3 linked regions of the Mus musculus genome follow. The protein of the gene in region 3 purifies or fractionates together with the protein of the main gene of each other region. This does not show direct contact. Links are inferred from orthologs where the notes say so. Each region holds a gene or a part of one and is shown on either strand. Other genes may lie near its edges.

The links.
Region 1: the proteins of Cav1 (region 3) and Trpc1 purify together in Homo sapiens (affinity purification with western blotting; 3 studies listed by BioGRID and IntAct, with this or other methods). This does not show direct contact. The link is inferred for Mus musculus from reciprocal best matches to the Homo sapiens genes CAV1 and TRPC1.
Region 2: the proteins of Cav1 (region 3) and Kcna5 purify together in Homo sapiens (affinity purification with western blotting, with the first as the bait; 3 studies listed by BioGRID). This does not show direct contact. The link is inferred for Mus musculus from reciprocal best matches to the Homo sapiens genes CAV1 and KCNA5.

Annotation. Positions count from the first base shown.
Region 1 is NC_000075.6:95,746,262-95,752,517, forward strand, and holds the start of Trpc1 (short transient receptor potential channel 1), read right to left. Parts: upstream 4,088-6,256; 5' UTR 3,627-4,087; coding exon of another isoform or gene 3,579-3,626; coding exon 3,407-3,578; intron 1-3,406. UniProt on the Homo sapiens protein: Forms a receptor-activated non-selective calcium permeant cation channel. Forms a heteromeric ion channel with TRPC4 or TRPC5 that has reduced calcium permeability compared to the homomeric TRPC4 or TRPC5 channel.
Region 2 is NC_000072.6:126,531,469-126,537,525, forward strand, and holds Kcna5 (potassium voltage-gated channel subfamily A member 5), read right to left. Parts: upstream 4,088-6,057; 5' UTR 3,696-4,087; coding exon 1,887-3,695; 3' UTR 1,083-1,886; downstream 1-1,082. UniProt on the Homo sapiens protein: Voltage-gated potassium channel that mediates transmembrane potassium transport in excitable membranes. Forms tetrameric potassium-selective channels through which potassium ions pass in accordance with their electrochemical gradient.
Region 3 is NC_000072.6:17,336,333-17,340,541, reverse strand, and holds part of Cav1 (caveolin-1), read right to left. Parts: intron 1,430-4,209; coding exon 1,088-1,429; 3' UTR 1-1,087. UniProt on the Homo sapiens protein: May act as a scaffolding protein within caveolar membranes. Forms a stable heterooligomeric complex with CAV2 that targets to lipid rafts and drives caveolae formation. Mediates the recruitment of CAVIN proteins (CAVIN1/2/3/4) to the caveolae.

The DNA.
Region 1 (6,256 bases), on a different chromosome or scaffold from region 3:
ATTAAAATATGCTAAGCTTTGTAGGACGTGGTACCTCAGTCACAAGTGTACTCAGACCCTTTTGCATCCAAGCAGACACAGAGCATACGGAAATGAATGAAGATGTGTAGCAATAAAACTTTTCAAATTTCATAGAATTCTCATGTTATAAAACTTTTCTTTTAATTAGAAACATTTCCTAGTATTTAAGATACAAAATGTAAAAGTCAGAGTTAGCTCACAGGCTTTGCAAAAACAGATTTGGCTTAGGGATCAGCTAGCCACCCATGTTCTAGCCCTTCCTCTTCAAAGCATATTATTCTTATAACTTGTGGACTTCTAGCATCCTCAATGGGCACTATTTTTACTGGAATCTATGAAGTCCACTGGAAACTGGGCTAGCAATTGTAATAGTATGTATCGCAACAATAAATTTCCTCTGTCCAACTCTAATAAATCCTTAAGAGAAATTCAGTAGAGAAGTGTTACAATATCAGTTAGGAAAGATGATTCTCCATTCCCTCACTGGCTTCTCCTTTGACTTTCTAACATATGGTGGTAAATCTCACCATTCCTGAAATGATGACAGCTTTAATGTTGATCAGTTTTGCTACATGTGGTGGCTCATGCCTATCATCCCAGCACCCAGGAAGCAGAAGCAGGAGGGTTGCTGTAAGTTTGAGGTCAGCCTAGACTACTTACATAGTGAATTCCAGGCCAACATGGACTACAGGCCCAAGCTAGATTTGAGGCTAGTTGTGAAGTGTGGGAAGCTTTTGTGTCAGAATATTTATAAATCTTTTCAAACCAAACTTTCTACAAAATACTTTTGACATGGAATTATGACACTCTACTTAAAATATTTCTAATTAATATTAAAACAGATTAAGAGAAAAAAAAAAGCTTTGGAACCCAAAGAAATCCTACTGGAACTCATAAGTAATTGCTTTGGTGCTGGAATTTAGTCCTGATCGTTCACTTTTGCTTTTTAATGTTATCAATTATGGCTTCTAAGTAACATTTGAACTTCTCATTACCTATATTAAACTATTACTCCTAGTCTTAGGTTCTTTGGCATCACTAAATTTGGTGCAATCAGTCTGAAGTTTATAGTACTAGGGACAAGAGAAACTGAGATTACAACAGTGCTTGTACATTCAGATTTAACCTTTAAACACCCTTCAGTCTCTTAACACACAATGTACTAATGTTTCACTTGGGTAATGTGTTTTTAACGTCCCAGGGGAGAGAGGACTCTGTACTAGGGCCAGCCTGCCTTCCAAACCTCATTAGGCCACTTAAGCTAAACCGAAGCTTAACTTGTGTGTGCTCAGAGATATCCATTATGCACATACACATACATTTTTACCCTTACTCTTCCTCACTACTGCACATAAAGAAAACATCTTTATGGGGCCGGGCGGTGGTGGTGCACGCCTTTAATCCCAGCACTTGGGAGGCAGAGGCAGGTGGATTTCTGAGTTCGAGGCCAGCCTGGTCTACAAAGTGAGTTCCAGGACAGCCAGGGATATACAGAGAAACCCTGTCTCAAAAAAAAAAATCTTTATTAGAGAAAAATTCTTAAAGAATATGGACGTAGTCAGTTACTCATTAATAGAGCTTTTTGTCCAATGCTTTAACACAATTAAGAACTTCATGTTTATAATAGCAAGGCAAAGAGCAGCAAGTTAAAAAGAATAAAACGAAACACATTGTGAGGTCAGTAGATATGCCAGTAAGGTAGCTAGCTGCTCTACCATCCTTCATTAAAATAACCGCGAACCACTTCCCATGGTACACTTCTCAACTAGTGTGTTCTAAAGCTTTGGTGATTTACAAAATGTCCCTGTACAGAGTGCTTAAGTTCTATAACCAGTGACACTTGTGAGCTGTATAGAACGATGCCTATATAGCTCCAGTACCCTACATACTAATTATACTCTCTTCACCCCTCCTTTATGCAAATTATTTTCCTCATCATACACATCTTTATATTAGGTGCTGACTACCAATATAAAACTTCTCAACCAAATACTCAGGTCTCTGCTTCTTAATTACCCAAACCGCTCTCCTCCCTAACCTCACACCCTTCAAATCTCCTCCAAAATAGGGAAAACAGAAAGTACCACTAAATATATTAAGGAAGGTGTTAATACAACAGTGGCATATATTCTCCAGGAAATGTTGCACATTTTGAAACCATCCTGAGCCCCGAGGCACACAAAGCTGCTACAGAAACCTAAAGCATCCTTCCTTATAATGCAGCAAGCCTCTCACGAAGGTGACAGAAGACAACTAGGAGGAACCAGGGGACACGGGGAATTCTGCCCTCCCCATCCTGGCTCTAAATCCATGATGAAATGTCAAGAAGGGATTGCCTTTTGGCCTGGCTAAGATTAAACATAATCATGTAAAAAAAAACAAAAACCTATCTCAAATGCTTTAAAAGGTTTAGGGAGATGTTGTTGACTTAAACCTCTATATGTGAACAAATCCAAAAACTTCTGTAACTAGTTTTCCCATAGTGTGAGCTGGCCTCTGGAAGTAGGCTTCAGAAGTCTGCATGGTTCCAACAACGTTTTCCCAAATAAACACTGCCTTTCAACATCCAACTGCTTAACTGAGGAATGAGAATGTTTCAGTACTTTTTTTGTTTTTCAGATAAGAGATAAAAGCAATCTGGGAGCAACCAAGTTCCATGCTTGTCTTTTAATGTGGCCAGAAAGTGATCAATTTTTAGATTCAAAACCAGTATATTCCACATTATTTCGCCTATATTTACTTTTTTTTTTTTTTTACTACCTTTGCCTCCCTCCAACTCTCTGAAGCAATAAATCTTTCTCCCTAATAAAAAATACCGACATTTAAAAGGGGTTCCAGAAATTTGGGGAAAGTTTCGGCAACTAGGGCAGGATTTTTCGTATTATTTGTGTTAAAGATAATGGGATACTACTCAACTGTAACAGGCTAAGGCACTGCTGGCTGATGCTAAACAGAAGTAAAAGTCTTTTTTAAAAATAACAACAACAACAACAACAACAAACCTACAAGGTGACAGCCCATAAATCGGAGAAGTCTTAAGGGAAATTCGTAGAATTTTCGGATTAGGTCCAAAACTAGCCTCTGGCTCCCAAAGGAAGAAGTAACTTCAAACTAGAGTTTATTAGTGACAGAAGTGGGGCAACTTTGGGATCAAGGCTCCCTCCTCGCCATGGAAACGTCCCACCTGCGCGAGTCCACCGCCCCCGCCCTACCTGCCTGCTGCTCAAGCTCAATTAGGCAGAAGTCCTGCGGGCTGCACAGAGGTGGGAATAGCCGCTGCACACAAGGAAAAGCACGAGTGCCAGGAGTTAAGTTGAGGCAGGGGCCGGACCCGGGGAGTGGGTGCTAGGGTGTCCGGAGGTGGAGAAGGGGGCCTAGCTCTCACCCTTGTCGCACGCCAGCAAGAAAAGCTTCTCATTCAAGGTGTTCTCCTCCTTCACCTCTCGCACATCCTTCAGCGCCATCACTTCGTTGGGCGACGAGGAGGATGGGGAGGAAGGCAGGGAGGAGGAGGAGACGCCCGAGAGGTCCGTGCTCGGGTACAGGGCCGCCATCATCGCGGCCCACGACGGGGGCAGGCCAGGAGACGGAGGCGGGGCCCCCATGGGCGCCGACCCCGACCCCGACCCCGAGCTGGAAAACGGGTGAGTCGTTCCCACGGCCACATCGGCGTGCGGCCCGTTGGCCCCGAAGGGCGTCGCCTCGCCCCGAAACCAGCACTCGCCCTCCACGGACAGCCCCAGGTTGGTGGCCGCGCTGGCGCGGCCCCGGGGCCAGCGCCCTCTGCCCAGCCGCCGGCGCCCCGGTCGAGCTGGTCCGCGCCCGTCCGGGGACGACAGAGTGGAGCGCGCCAGGGCGGCAGCCGAGCGCGGGGCCGTGCCAGGAGCCGCAGGGGCCGCACAGGGAGCGGCCCGGCCTGGGAGGGAGTGAGGGGGCCGCCGGCCGGAGAGCTCGGCGGTGCGCTTCGCAGCACGTCTGGCTCCGGGGCTGTGGGAACCGCTGGCCCAGCAGCACCCACAGGAGGCAGAGGTTCGCGGCTTTCTCCTCACGTCATCCTCAGCCCCGCGGAGGCGACGACACCGGGGCGGGGCTTAAGGCGAAGCCGGGCTAGGGGCGGGGCTTGTAGGGGCGGGGCTCCAGGGCTGACGCGCCTCTCTGGTCGGTCGCCTAGCATCTTGGGCGCGTCTGCAGCATCTTTGAGCACCTGAGGGCATGGGAACCGCTTGGTGGCGGATTTCAGGTAATTTTATCCGCTGCCTGTTTGTGCTGCTGCTGCTACTGCAGCACAGAAAAGGGCCAAGGAGCTTCTGAAGGATTAACGTTTACTTGAAATCCTGTACGGAATTGTCCTAAAGCCTGGCCAAAGCAACCTGATTATGGAGTTTGTGTTTACAGTTCCCTCGTTCCTAAAGGCGTTTTAAAAACAATCTTTGTGATTTAATATGGTCTAACATTCCTGATATTTCCAAAGTCACTATAAAAGTATTCGCATGTAAGTCAAAGGCGACCTATAACCGTTGCATAAGCACAGTTTAGGAGTTACTCGCCATACAAGTCCTTTTAGTGGATTCGTTATATTTATCCTATCTAATTTTAAGAGATTCGCTATTTAGACAACAATTGTCTGACGTCCAGCAAATGCGACTTGAAAACTGCATCTTTTCAATAATTTTTAATTGCTTCCTGCAGTCAACACTAGGGGGAAAATCTGAACTCTACGTTTAAGATTTAGATTTTTAAAGCAATGGATAAATGTACTTAAATTTGAGGGGAATACTGCCTCTCCTATTCAGGCTACTTTGTCCCATTAGTTTCTCTTTCAACATTTAACTTACTAATTCTTAAAAATCAATGTTCTCTTTAGATATTCTCTAAAAGTCTTTGATGTCGAAGTCATCTTTTCAAACGTTTTCTGTATTTGATGTAAATGATAATCTCAAGTTGCTCCAGTTTTTGTTTCTAAATGATCTCCCCGTTGTCGTGTAATGTTTAATACACTTCCAAGTTTATGAGTTTGGTGAAATTTCCAAGAGGCTCAAGGTGAAGCCAGTGGGAGAGAGGAGCGCCCATACATTTGTATATGCACCTCCTTTGTTGCTCAGCAAAATGTTTAGCCAGTAGTAGAAATCTAATCCTGCGCTATCTGAAATTTCAGTATTTGAAGTTAACTCAAATGACTCACAGCCATACACAGATTCTTTATCCAAAGAACTATGGGACTGGATTACTTTCTAAGACTGGAGGGAATTCCAACCCTCTTTGGTAGTAATCTTAAGAGACCTTCCAAAGCACTAGAGAGCCTACTTCAGGCAAGCTGATAATTATAATGCAGGCTTTTGGATTGTCTCCGATACAGACAAACTGCTCAGCGGGCATAAATTGGGACATTCTAACAATACCTACATACTTAGCACATGTGATATGTAGATCAGTATTGGAGTTATGATGAACAATGGTATTCAAAAAACTCAAAAGTGGCATATTACTCTAAGCAACTCCATCAAGTCACAGGCAAACAAAACAGAAACCAAAAGAGGAATCACAACTCCAGCCAGAGAGGGGAAAGAAACTCAGATTTAGATCTAGTCCTACAAGTAGGATGCTACTGATATTTTTCATGTTCTCCTCCCTTTACTCCCGAGGAGCACATCTGTCTCTTTTTCATGGCGCCCACTCGATTGCTTTTCCTCAGAGAGCCCTGACCTCGCTACCCAGAAAACCTCCCCCTCTGCTCTCAGTCAGTCTGCAGCAAATCTCCCCCCACTCCAATGGTCTCTCGGTTTCTTCCCTGCTTCATTTCTTGTTGTTGCTTTATTGGCTGGCCGTCTCTACTAGGATGTAAGTCAAAAGGCTGTTTCTACTTGTCTTAGCTGAGGTCCAAGAATCTAGTTGTGGTACTTGGACACTGGAGACAATAAATTAATGCTAATTATTTTATCCACTCAAATGATTTCATCACAAACTAAGTTTATAACAATCACGCAGTTTGTCTTTTTTTTTTTTTTAATCTTCATATGAGGGCTGGTGAGATGGCTTAGTGGATAAGAGTGCTGGTTGTTCAAACCTGAAGCCCTGAGTTCGATTCCCATGAAGGTGTAAGGAGAAAACTGACCCAACAAATTTGTTCTCTGATATCCACATGTAAGCATGCATGCCCATACACATGTATCATCCATACATACAATGATAATAAAAACACTAGAATTTTAGAATTAATTTTTTTCTCATATGAAAG
Region 2 (6,057 bases), about 110 Mb from region 3:
GCTCCTGTGGTGAACAGCCAGGAACTCTCCCTGAGTGACCTTCATCAGACTGTGATCCTCTGAAAGGGCTTGTCTGTGAGCATCAGGCTTGCTTCTTTGAGCTCCCTTGAGCAATTAACAAGAAGGACTTGGGACTTACAGTAAAGGAGACAACCTTGAGAAACCCAGAGCCTGGGACTATAAGAGGACAGCTGCAGGGCGGGGCTCATCACCCTTTTCCCTTAGCCTCAAATCTAGAGTCTGTGTTGACAGTAATAGGCCCACATCACACACAGCCTAGACACAAACAATCCATCTATCATCTTTCTAAGCCAGTGGTTTTCAGCCTTCCTAATGCTTCGACCCTTTAATACAGTTCTTCATGTTGTAGTGACCCCCAACCATAGAATCATTTTGTTTCTACTTCACAACTGTAATTTTGCTATGGTTATTAATCACAATGTACATATCTGATATGCAGGATATCTGATATATGAACCCCCAAAGGGGTCTCCCCCTAGAGGTTGGGAACCTCTGTTTAAGCTCAGTGAGATCTATTAAAAAGAGGATGCTGGACTAACCTGTGTCCATGGGATCACAGAGACTGACTCCCCAACCAAGGAGCATGCAGACACTGGAACTAGGTGCCCTACACACTTGCAGCAGATGTGCAGCTTAGCTTGGCATTCATGTGAGTCCCCTAAGAGTCGAGCAGAGACTGTCTCTGACTTGGTTGCCTCCCTTGGGATCCCCTTCTCCTAGCTGGGCTGCCTGGTTAGACCTCAGTGGGAGAGGATTGCACTTAGTCTTGCTGAGATTGGCTGAGAAGGCAGTCCCCTTTCCAGGAAAAGAAGAGGGGATAATGGGAGGAAGGATTTGTGAGGGCAGGGCTGGGAGGAGAAGGGGGCTGTGATCAGGATGCAAATGAATGAATGAATGAATGAATGAACAAATAAGTAAATGATGGGGGGTAGGGGGATGCTGGGCTCCCTGAGTTTTCTAACCCTGTCAGAGCATTTGCACTGACAGCGCTCATACCAGACAGCAAGTGGCAGACTTCACTGATTAACATGTCACACCCTCAGCAGTAGACAAACTAACACTTGCCCGACAGAGTCACATTTTATTTCCTGCTATCAAAATGAAAAGAATGAATTCTCAAAAGCCTTCTTCCAACATCCTTAAAATGCTTCTGTGAAGAAAGTCACAGGATATGTTTAAGGGGAATAAAAAAAAAAGCAGGTTTGCTGCTCTTCTAGAACATTCTCTACCTTAGACACAAAGCACCAATAGTACATCCCAGAATAATGGGAGGCTTGGGAACACAAACTTGAACAACTTCTTTAGTGTCTCTGCCCCTGGGTTGTCCCAGGAAATGATGACCCCCCCCAAGACTTCATAATTCAAAGTACATCTTAAGAACACACCCAAATATTCTTCATGTGCACTGCTGTACAAAATGCACTCGTCAGCCATAAGAATAATATTTGCCATATACAAATATAATCACGTGTAAAGTAAATTTGGAACACAGGAATAGAGAGGGCTATGGACTCTCTTGGGATCTGAGCTATTTAAAGTCAATTTTGTTTGAGTTATCCCTCTGCTGGGTATAGAAAACTGGCTATGAATACATCCATCTTACAGTGAATGCTCACCACTTCAACGGCTCCTGCGTCATGGAATGCGATACTTTTTAAAAATAGGTGACCCTTGGTGTTATGGAAAGGGGGGGGGATGGGGAAGTTAGAGGGCAGGAGGGTGGGAAGGGTAAACGGGGAAAGACAGGATCCGGACTTTGATGGGTGACCAGGTGGGCTTAAATACTCTATGGTGTAAAGCAGATAAGCAAGCTCAAGAGGAACCGGTTCCCAGCTCTGCTGTTGCAAGTCTGCCTTGATCTCTCTTTACAAATCTGTTTCCCGGCTAGTGTCCAGACAGAGGGCATACAGAGACCTTCGCAGGTCCACGTTGCTCTTGGCCTTTAGGTGACACTTTTCTAGAGGACAGCTACCCCTTCTGATACTGTCAGTACTCTCCAGGGGTCCCCCAGTCTTGCAGAAGGAGGCCTTGCTGCAGCTGACCTTCCGTTGACCTCCTGTGTCCAGCCCAGACTCCCGCCTCTGGATGCCTTGCTCTTCCTTCAGGGCAGCCTGCTCCTCGTGGTCTGTCTCCCGATGATAGAAGTAATTAAAATTGGAGACGATGACGGGCACAGGCAGAGCAATGGTGAGGACCCCAGCTATGGCGCACAGTGAGCCCACAATCTTGCCCCCTACAGTGATGGGCCTCATGTCCCCGTAGCCTACAGTGGTCATAGTGACTACTGCCCACCAGAATGCATCCGGGATACTGGAGAAGTGCGACCCCTGATTGTCTGCCTCTGCGAAGTAGACAGCGCTGGAGAAGAGGATGACTCCGATGAAGAGGAAGAAGATGAGCAGCCCGAGCTCCCGCATGGACGCCTGTAAGGTCTTACCCAGGATCTGCAGTCCCTTGGAGTGGCGGGAGAGCTTGAAGATTCGGAACACCCGGACCAGGCGGATCACCCTGAGGATGGCTAGGGACATGGCCTGCTGCCCATTCTGACCACCACCCCCTGGTTGTTGCTCTGCCAGCTCGGTGCCCAGGGTGATAAAGTAGGGGAAGATGGCCACAATATCAATGATGTTCATAATATTCCGAGAGAATTCTGCCTTGCTGGGGCAAGCAAAGAAACGCACAAGCAGCTCAAAAGTGAACCAGATCACACATGTGGTCTCCACGATGAAGAATGGGTCAGCCAGTGTCCTAGGCAGGAGCGGAGCCACTGTGGGGCCAGAGGAAAGGACACCAGAGCCACTGCCATTTGCCCCTGGGGCAGGGGCTGGGGGCTGCGGCGGCACTGGGGGGTGGCGTAACAGCTCCCGTTCATCCCTGAACTCAGGCAGAGTCTCCAAGCAGAAGGTGATGATAGAGATGAGAATGACCAAGACCGACACGATGGCAATGGCTCTTGCTGACCCAGAGCTTTCTGGGTATTCGAAGATAAGCCACACCTGGCGCTGGAACTCATTGCGGGGCAGGGGCTTCTCCTCTTCCTTGATGAAGCCTTCATCCTCCCGGAAGCGCTCCATGGCCTCGTCCCCCAGCTGGTAAAAGCGGATCTCATCTGCAAACACATCCAGGGAGACATTGACCGGCCTGCGCAGGCGGCCCCCAGACTGGTAGTAGTACAAAATGCCATCGAAGCTAGGCCGGTTGCGGTCGAAGAAGTACTCATTTCTCAAGGGATCGAAGTAGCGCAGGCGTTTGACTGGGTCCCCCAGGAGGGTGTTGGGAAACTGCGCCAGGGTGCCCAGCTGCGTCTCAAAGCGCAAACCCGAGATGTTTATGAGGACCCGCTGGTGATGGAGTGATCCTGAGTCCTGAGGAGCCTGGTCCTCCTCCACTGTGCCCAGGCCAGGGTCGCCTTCTCCCTCCTCATCCTCAGCAGATGGCCTTCTAGGCTGTGGCAGCTCCTGAGGCATAGGGGGCAAAGGCCTCCCACCCTGGCCCGCATCCTCGTGTGTGGCGCGCCTCCTCGGTGATGTTTCTTTGGACTGATTATTGAGTCCAGCCGTCGGAGGGCACCCACACTCTCCCCTGGGGCTCTGCACACAGCTTGCCCCTGCCTCCCCTCCTCCTCTGAGGGTCATGGCACTGCCGTTCTCCATGGGCACCAGGGAGATCTCCATGGCCCGGGGGCAAGGGGCATGCTGCGCCCCCAGACAACCGGTTCCCACACCCCAACTCACGCTCCGCGCCTCGCGGTTTCCTCTTCAGCCGAGGGCCCCCGCTGGCTCTAGGCTGGCTGGGGTAGCTGGCTGGATCCCCTTGGCTGGTCCTGACGTCAAGAAGCTGCTGCCCCTGCTCCCTGCCTCTCTCTCTCCCTCTCAGTGTTCTGGCAGCTGGTTACCAGGCAGCAGAAAAACCTCCTTCCAGCAGATGCAACCTCCAGCAGCCCCTCTCTGGCTGAGCTCCCCGGCCTCCGCCCTCTGTGGCTCCCTCCTCTCCTCCTCCCCCTCCTGTTTCTCCTCTGGGGACGGAGTCAGAGAGTGTCTCTCTGGAGGGTTCAGCTGGGGCCCCAGCAGCAAGGACAGGAAGGGGAGGAGGAAAAGAGCCTGAGGAGCGAGGAACAGGTTGTACCAGGAGCGCTGAAAACTCCCAGGGCAACAGGATGAGAATAGCTTCAGGATCTCAGATCACCTGGGAATGCACAGAAAGCGGAAAGGGGACTCCAGGGGGTGGGAACTGCTTTAGATGCAAGGGGAAGGCTTGTAGCTGAGTTCCAGTGAGTGGAGAAGAGAGTGCTCTGGGTGTTTTTCTTTTAGAGCAGTGCTTCTCAACCTTGCTAATGCTGCTGCAACCTTTAACACTGTTCCTCATGTTGTGGTGAACCCCACAACGGTAAATTTATTTTTGTTGCTACTTCATAACTGTGATTTTACTATTGTTATCATAACATAAATGGAATTTGTTACTGAAGTGTAATGTAAATATTATTGGAAATAGAGGTTTGCCAAAAGGATTGTGAACCACAGGTTGCAAAACCAATGCTTTATAGATTAACAGCCTCTCTCTTTGGGAAAAATGACACTGCAGGGGAGCAGCGAGCTGTGTGTGTGTGTGTGTGTGTGTGTGTGTGTGTGTGTGTGTGTGTGTACTCTGGAACTCTTCCAGTCTATCTACAGATCCATTGGAAGGTATGAGACTGAGACCTCACAGCACCCCCTTAAGCCTGCTTTTCATCATCCAGACATTGGTGATTTGATCTGCTAGTATGGAGCCAGGAGGAGTCTCAACTGAGAGAGAAGCTGTCTGGTCTCCTGCCTCTGCATTCTTCGCCATCCCTCCAGCCTCCTCACCTAATCCTCTTTTTGTAAAATGCACAGTGAGAAAAGAGAATAAATCCTGGTGGAGAATAATTGTGCACGGGAAAGCTCTAAGCTAGCGACTGCATAGAAACCTGTGTAAAGAGGAGGCAGAGGGACTTATTTATTGCTAGTATGTCCAGATCATTCTGGACTTGTGTGTTTTTGCATCAGCTTACTTTGTAAGTACTAGGACTACCTTCAACATACAAAGAAACTCAGGCACAGATAGATTGACTACATTGTATATGGAGGCCACAGAACTTGACTACATTGTATATGGAGGCCACAGAACTAGAAAGTATCAACGCTGCAATTCAAACCCAAGTTGCTGGGTTTAGGGAGCTCGCTTCTTTCTCCCCTCCCCACATCTGGCCTGAGGCCCTTCTTCCATTGCAGGAGGCAGAAGAATGAGTAAGATAAAGATTGGGTTCTAGGCTGGGATGCCAGGGTCCCTCTCTACACTCTGCCCTTGTCTTTAGTCTCTGAGGCTGTTGTGGTCTCCAAAAGCCAAGGGGAGGATTTTTCAAGGTCTGTCAGCCAATTCTAGATACAGCTTCCTCCAGATGTTTTTTGTTTTTACATTGCTGGAAAGTTGCTGTAATTCAGAGTGTCTGATTATATTGTCTATTTTCTTTTCCTGCATATTGTTTGAGATTCTACTCCAGGGATGTCACCACCTATTGTCTGTGAATGAGTCTACAAATACAGGTGCTTTGGAAACTTGAGGCAAAGTTTGTTGAAACAGCAAAGGCCACACAAACTTGCGTTGCCTCTGGAAATGCAGAGGATGTGACTTCATTAGTGGATTTGTACAAGAAGGTTGCTGGGAAGTGGGTGTGTGCAGACATTTGGCTGCATGTGACTTCATGTAAATGGTGTTAGCAGAGATGCAAGGATGAGGATTGAGTGTGGATGTGACAGGTGACATGAGGGGGTGTCAGCAGCCAGCGTTACGACATTGCACTCGCCACTCCACAGTGCCATGGTTTATTAATTCTTCATTTACTAAGGAGTTGAGGATCTAACCTAGGACCTGATACATACTAGGCAAGTTTTCCACTACTGCCTAAAACCTGCAGTGAGTTAGGTGGCTCCATGCTGGGATCATGGTGGGTGAGGTTAGAGATGTGTTGCCTTATATCTTATCATGGAATGATACATCTTGTGCATACGAAGGAAGATG
Region 3 (4,209 bases):
TTTTGACACCCCTCCCTGGAGGTTCACTCATCAGCTGAAAAGGAAGTACAATGTTGAGCTCCTAAATCATCCCAGTCAGTCACTAAACCTTGATCCTGGTGAGGGGCTGGCTTAGAGTCAGGAACCTGTGATTATTCTTGAAAATGAGTGAAACTGAATAGACACGCTGGCCTCATTCAGTTGCTGAGTGGCAGGGAAAGCTGGCTTCTACTTCTGCCAGTCCAGAGAGGTCTCACCCCCATTTGTCTGCTTCAAATCATTTCATTGGGTTAATGTTGACCAGGCTTAACAGAGAGAAAGATGCTACATAGCTGAGCACAGATATCAACATCAACAGGTTCTGTATTTCAGAGTCAGAAACAAGTACAGAGAACTAGCAAGTGCAATTTGTATGTTTTGTTTTTAGGAAAGCTGCCGGCATCATGCAAGTAGATGAGTTAGATCCTATTTGGAAAAAAAAAAAACATGAAAAATTAGAAGGCACGTAGGTCTTATTCTCAGTATAGCAAATATTCAGGCATACAAAATAACAGGTTAAAATGCCAGGATAAGTAAAACATTGTTGGTATCATGAAGATTATAGTCTCCAAATTGATGGTGATCCCTAAATCCCTAAATCTAACTGGATTGTTAAGAGTGAGGACAGCAACCAATTCCTTAGATAACTGGCATATATTAAAAACGTTCCTTCATGCCCCTAAACAAATGGCCGTAACCTGAATCTCTTCCCTTTGTATGACATCATCACCTTTGAGTAGGCAGTTGAGGTTGTTGGTACTCTTCCCTGCCTCCCAGTCCTTCCTATTTTTCTCAAATCATCTTTCAACAATATGTTTATATTTTAGCCAATGAAACAATGATTCACATATAAAAGAGAGAGCAGGAATGGGTTTAAACATTCCAGACTGTCAAACATAGATGCAGTAGCTTAGAAGAGACAAGTAGTATATATGAGAATGGTGGGAATGAATTCTTTGTTCTTGATCAAGACAAACCATTCATAAATTTGCTGCTGCGAGAGCAACTTGGAATTGGCACCAAGGAAATAGTAAGGGGGGAAAAAAACCTTTCATCCTTGAAATGTCCCTCATATCTCTTTCTGCGTGCTGATGCGGATGTTGCTGAATATCTTGCCAATAGCTTCAAAGAGTGGATCGCAGAAGGTATGGACGTAGATGGAGTAGACGCGGCTGATGCACTGAATCTCAATCAGGAAGCTCTTGATGCACGGTACAACCGCCCAGATGTGCAGGAAGGAGAGAATGGCAAAGTAAATGCCCCAGATGAGTGCCATTGGGATGCCGAAGATCGTAGACAACAAGCGGTAAAACCAATATTTTGTCACAGTGAAGGTGGTGAAGCTGGCCTTCCAGATGCCGTCGAAACTGTGTGTCCCTTCTGGTTCTGCAATCACATCTTCAAAGTCAATCTGAAAGAAAGAAGGAGCAGAATGTGAGAACAGAAGAAAGGGGGGGAAGACCGTGTGAGATGTATGCAAATGTGTAAGATTTGTGTGCCAGCCCTGTGCAAGGCAATCAGCAGCCATCAGCAGCACCTGCCTCCTTGGACCTCACTGGGAACATGAATATATGGTTCTCCTTAGATCTGATTATTCTAGGGTGGAGCAGAAAAGTATTTTAACCTACATCCCAGGTGTTTCTTTGCTGTGTCATCTGCTGAGGACTACTGCTCAGGTTAAATAGATGTGGTTTAAAGCGAAACTCAGGAACATGAGTAAGGACACCCAGCACTCAGTAAGAGGTAAATAATGTGACCTAAATTTTTACTGCCTTCAAAGACAATCATAATCCAGTGTTAAATACTAGACCCAGTTAGAATTAGACAAATCTGTTAATGACTTTTATAACAGGATTAACAAAATCCTTTCATGGAGTTATCATCACTGCGAGTTGAGGCACAGAAATGACTGTGGGGTGGCAAAGCAGAGCTTTGGAAATGTATGTGATGGGGAAATTCAAGGTGCATGGGAATGCTGGGATCCAACCATCAGGAGCAAGTAAGAATGAGACCCAGGAGTGTCACAGGCAAAGGAGACCAGAGTGACCACATCAGAAGACATTTTGAGGCCAGAATGGGTATTGTTTTCCATACAGTGAGGGTCTTTGAAGATGTTAGAACAGGGAAGAGCAGCTACAGACACACAGTTTCTTTAGATGAATTTGACAAGGAGTGTGAGTATCTAAGTGTGTGAGTATGTGTGTCTGAGTGTTATTTCAAAGAGAGGAACAAAGGATGACCTTTGAACTCTCAATAGGACTGTTAGGGAGAACACAGGTGACATTAGAGCAAGGAGAATATTAGAGAGAGAAAAATTAAGTTAGCAGATCGGAACCTCACCTTAGAGTTAGATAAATTGAGAATATAGTTTTTGGTAATGATTAAGACAAATACCAATGGTCCAAGAATCATGGATATTTCAGAAGTCCATTTTAGGAAGCCACTGGAAAGCAATCAACCAAATTTGCAGTCACGCAGCACTTACAACTGCTTCTTTGCATTGGTGACCTAGAACAGTAGGTTTCTGTCACTTTACAAAAGAAGAGACATATGGTGACTTTCTAAAGACAGATGCACACACCGCAATAGGAGGATCCCAGTGCAAATTCAGTTCTTTTGCAAGGTCTCACTTACTCACCTACATAGTTACTTCTTAGGCTTTATATAAACTAAATGAAACACAAGATTAAAAGCAGTTATCATCAGGAAGGCAGAATAGAGCAACTCCTTCCTGGTGGCTGCTATGTGAGGGGCTCTAGCATAGTTTGAAATTCAAAGAAACTGATGTCTTTGACCAGCAGCAGCCCTGCAGAGCTAGGCTAGAACTTGGGTTCCTTCAGGCTGTGGCTCAGTGTCAAAGAGCCACCTTTGATTCAGCACACCAAAGTATCTTTGGAAAAAGTACGTGACGCTTACCAGTCTTAAAGTTTATTTTCTAGAACATTCTGTTCCTTTCTCTATTGCCCAATGTCCTAATAATATAATATGCAAAATGGCTTGGTTATAATTTTGCAAATGAAGTTAAATAGATTTATTGTTATTGTATTTTCCTTAGAACATTCAGAACTAGACTGAGGTAAATATTTACTTGTGTGTGTGTGTGTGTGTGTGTGTGTGTGTGTGTGTGTGTGTTTAGCAGATTGTAGAATCCAGATAGCTCAGGTGCAAGCACAAGGACATGAGTTTGGTCCTCAGAACACACTTAAAAAAAGAGTAAACAAACAAGCAAACATACAAACAGGCAAACATACAAACAAACAAACAAACCAAAGCCCACCAGACATAGGGCTCAGCAGGCCAGCCAGACTAATCTGAGCAGGGAGTTCCAGACTAGCGAGAGAGTTTATGGTTAATAAAAAATGATGGGTGGGTTTGGAAAAACAATCTCTGACATGTCCTCTGAAACACACACACACACACACACACACACACACACACACACACACACTTAGAGAAAATGGAGGGAGCATAAGGCAAATCAGACCAACACTTGAATGATGTTTCATTCAATTTATTTATAATTGTCTGTGTGTAAGGTTATGATAATACATTCTTCCCAAAGCAATGAAAATGAGAAATTAAGATTTTTTCCCTTCAATTCATTTAAAATATAGTCTTATTATTTAAAACATGAAAGTGCAAAACTGCAAAATCATCAGTAAAATTTAAATCTTGGATCAAAGGATAATGCATGGTGATTGACAAATCTCCTGGGCGGGCAGAACTGCTGGAGCATACAAAGTGTACAAAGGCCCATTGCTTTCATTACAGGAAGGTCTATTACTAATTATCCCAGAAATGACAAGGAATTGTCTATGTGAACAAGAGGTTGGTTTGAGGCTCAAATCTGGTCTAAAAGAAGTTGATGGTTTCTATAATACTGAAGCACTTTATGAAAAGTATTTTTTGAAAATGAACAGAGCATTTCACAATTAGAAGGCATATTAATAGACTTAGAAGTTTCACACCCTGAACTCTTCTGGTAACTAATAATTTCCCTAGCATGACCTCAGAGGCAGTGAACAAAGTGTGTGTGTGTGTGTGTGTGTGTATGAATATTCATGCATATATAAATATAATTTGCTCATATTAATGAAGTATATCTAGTTAGAGAAGATATCTAGGAACATGTGTTTCTATGAAAACTTTATTGATAACAATTTCCTTAACTTTACATCTAAAGTATTTTTT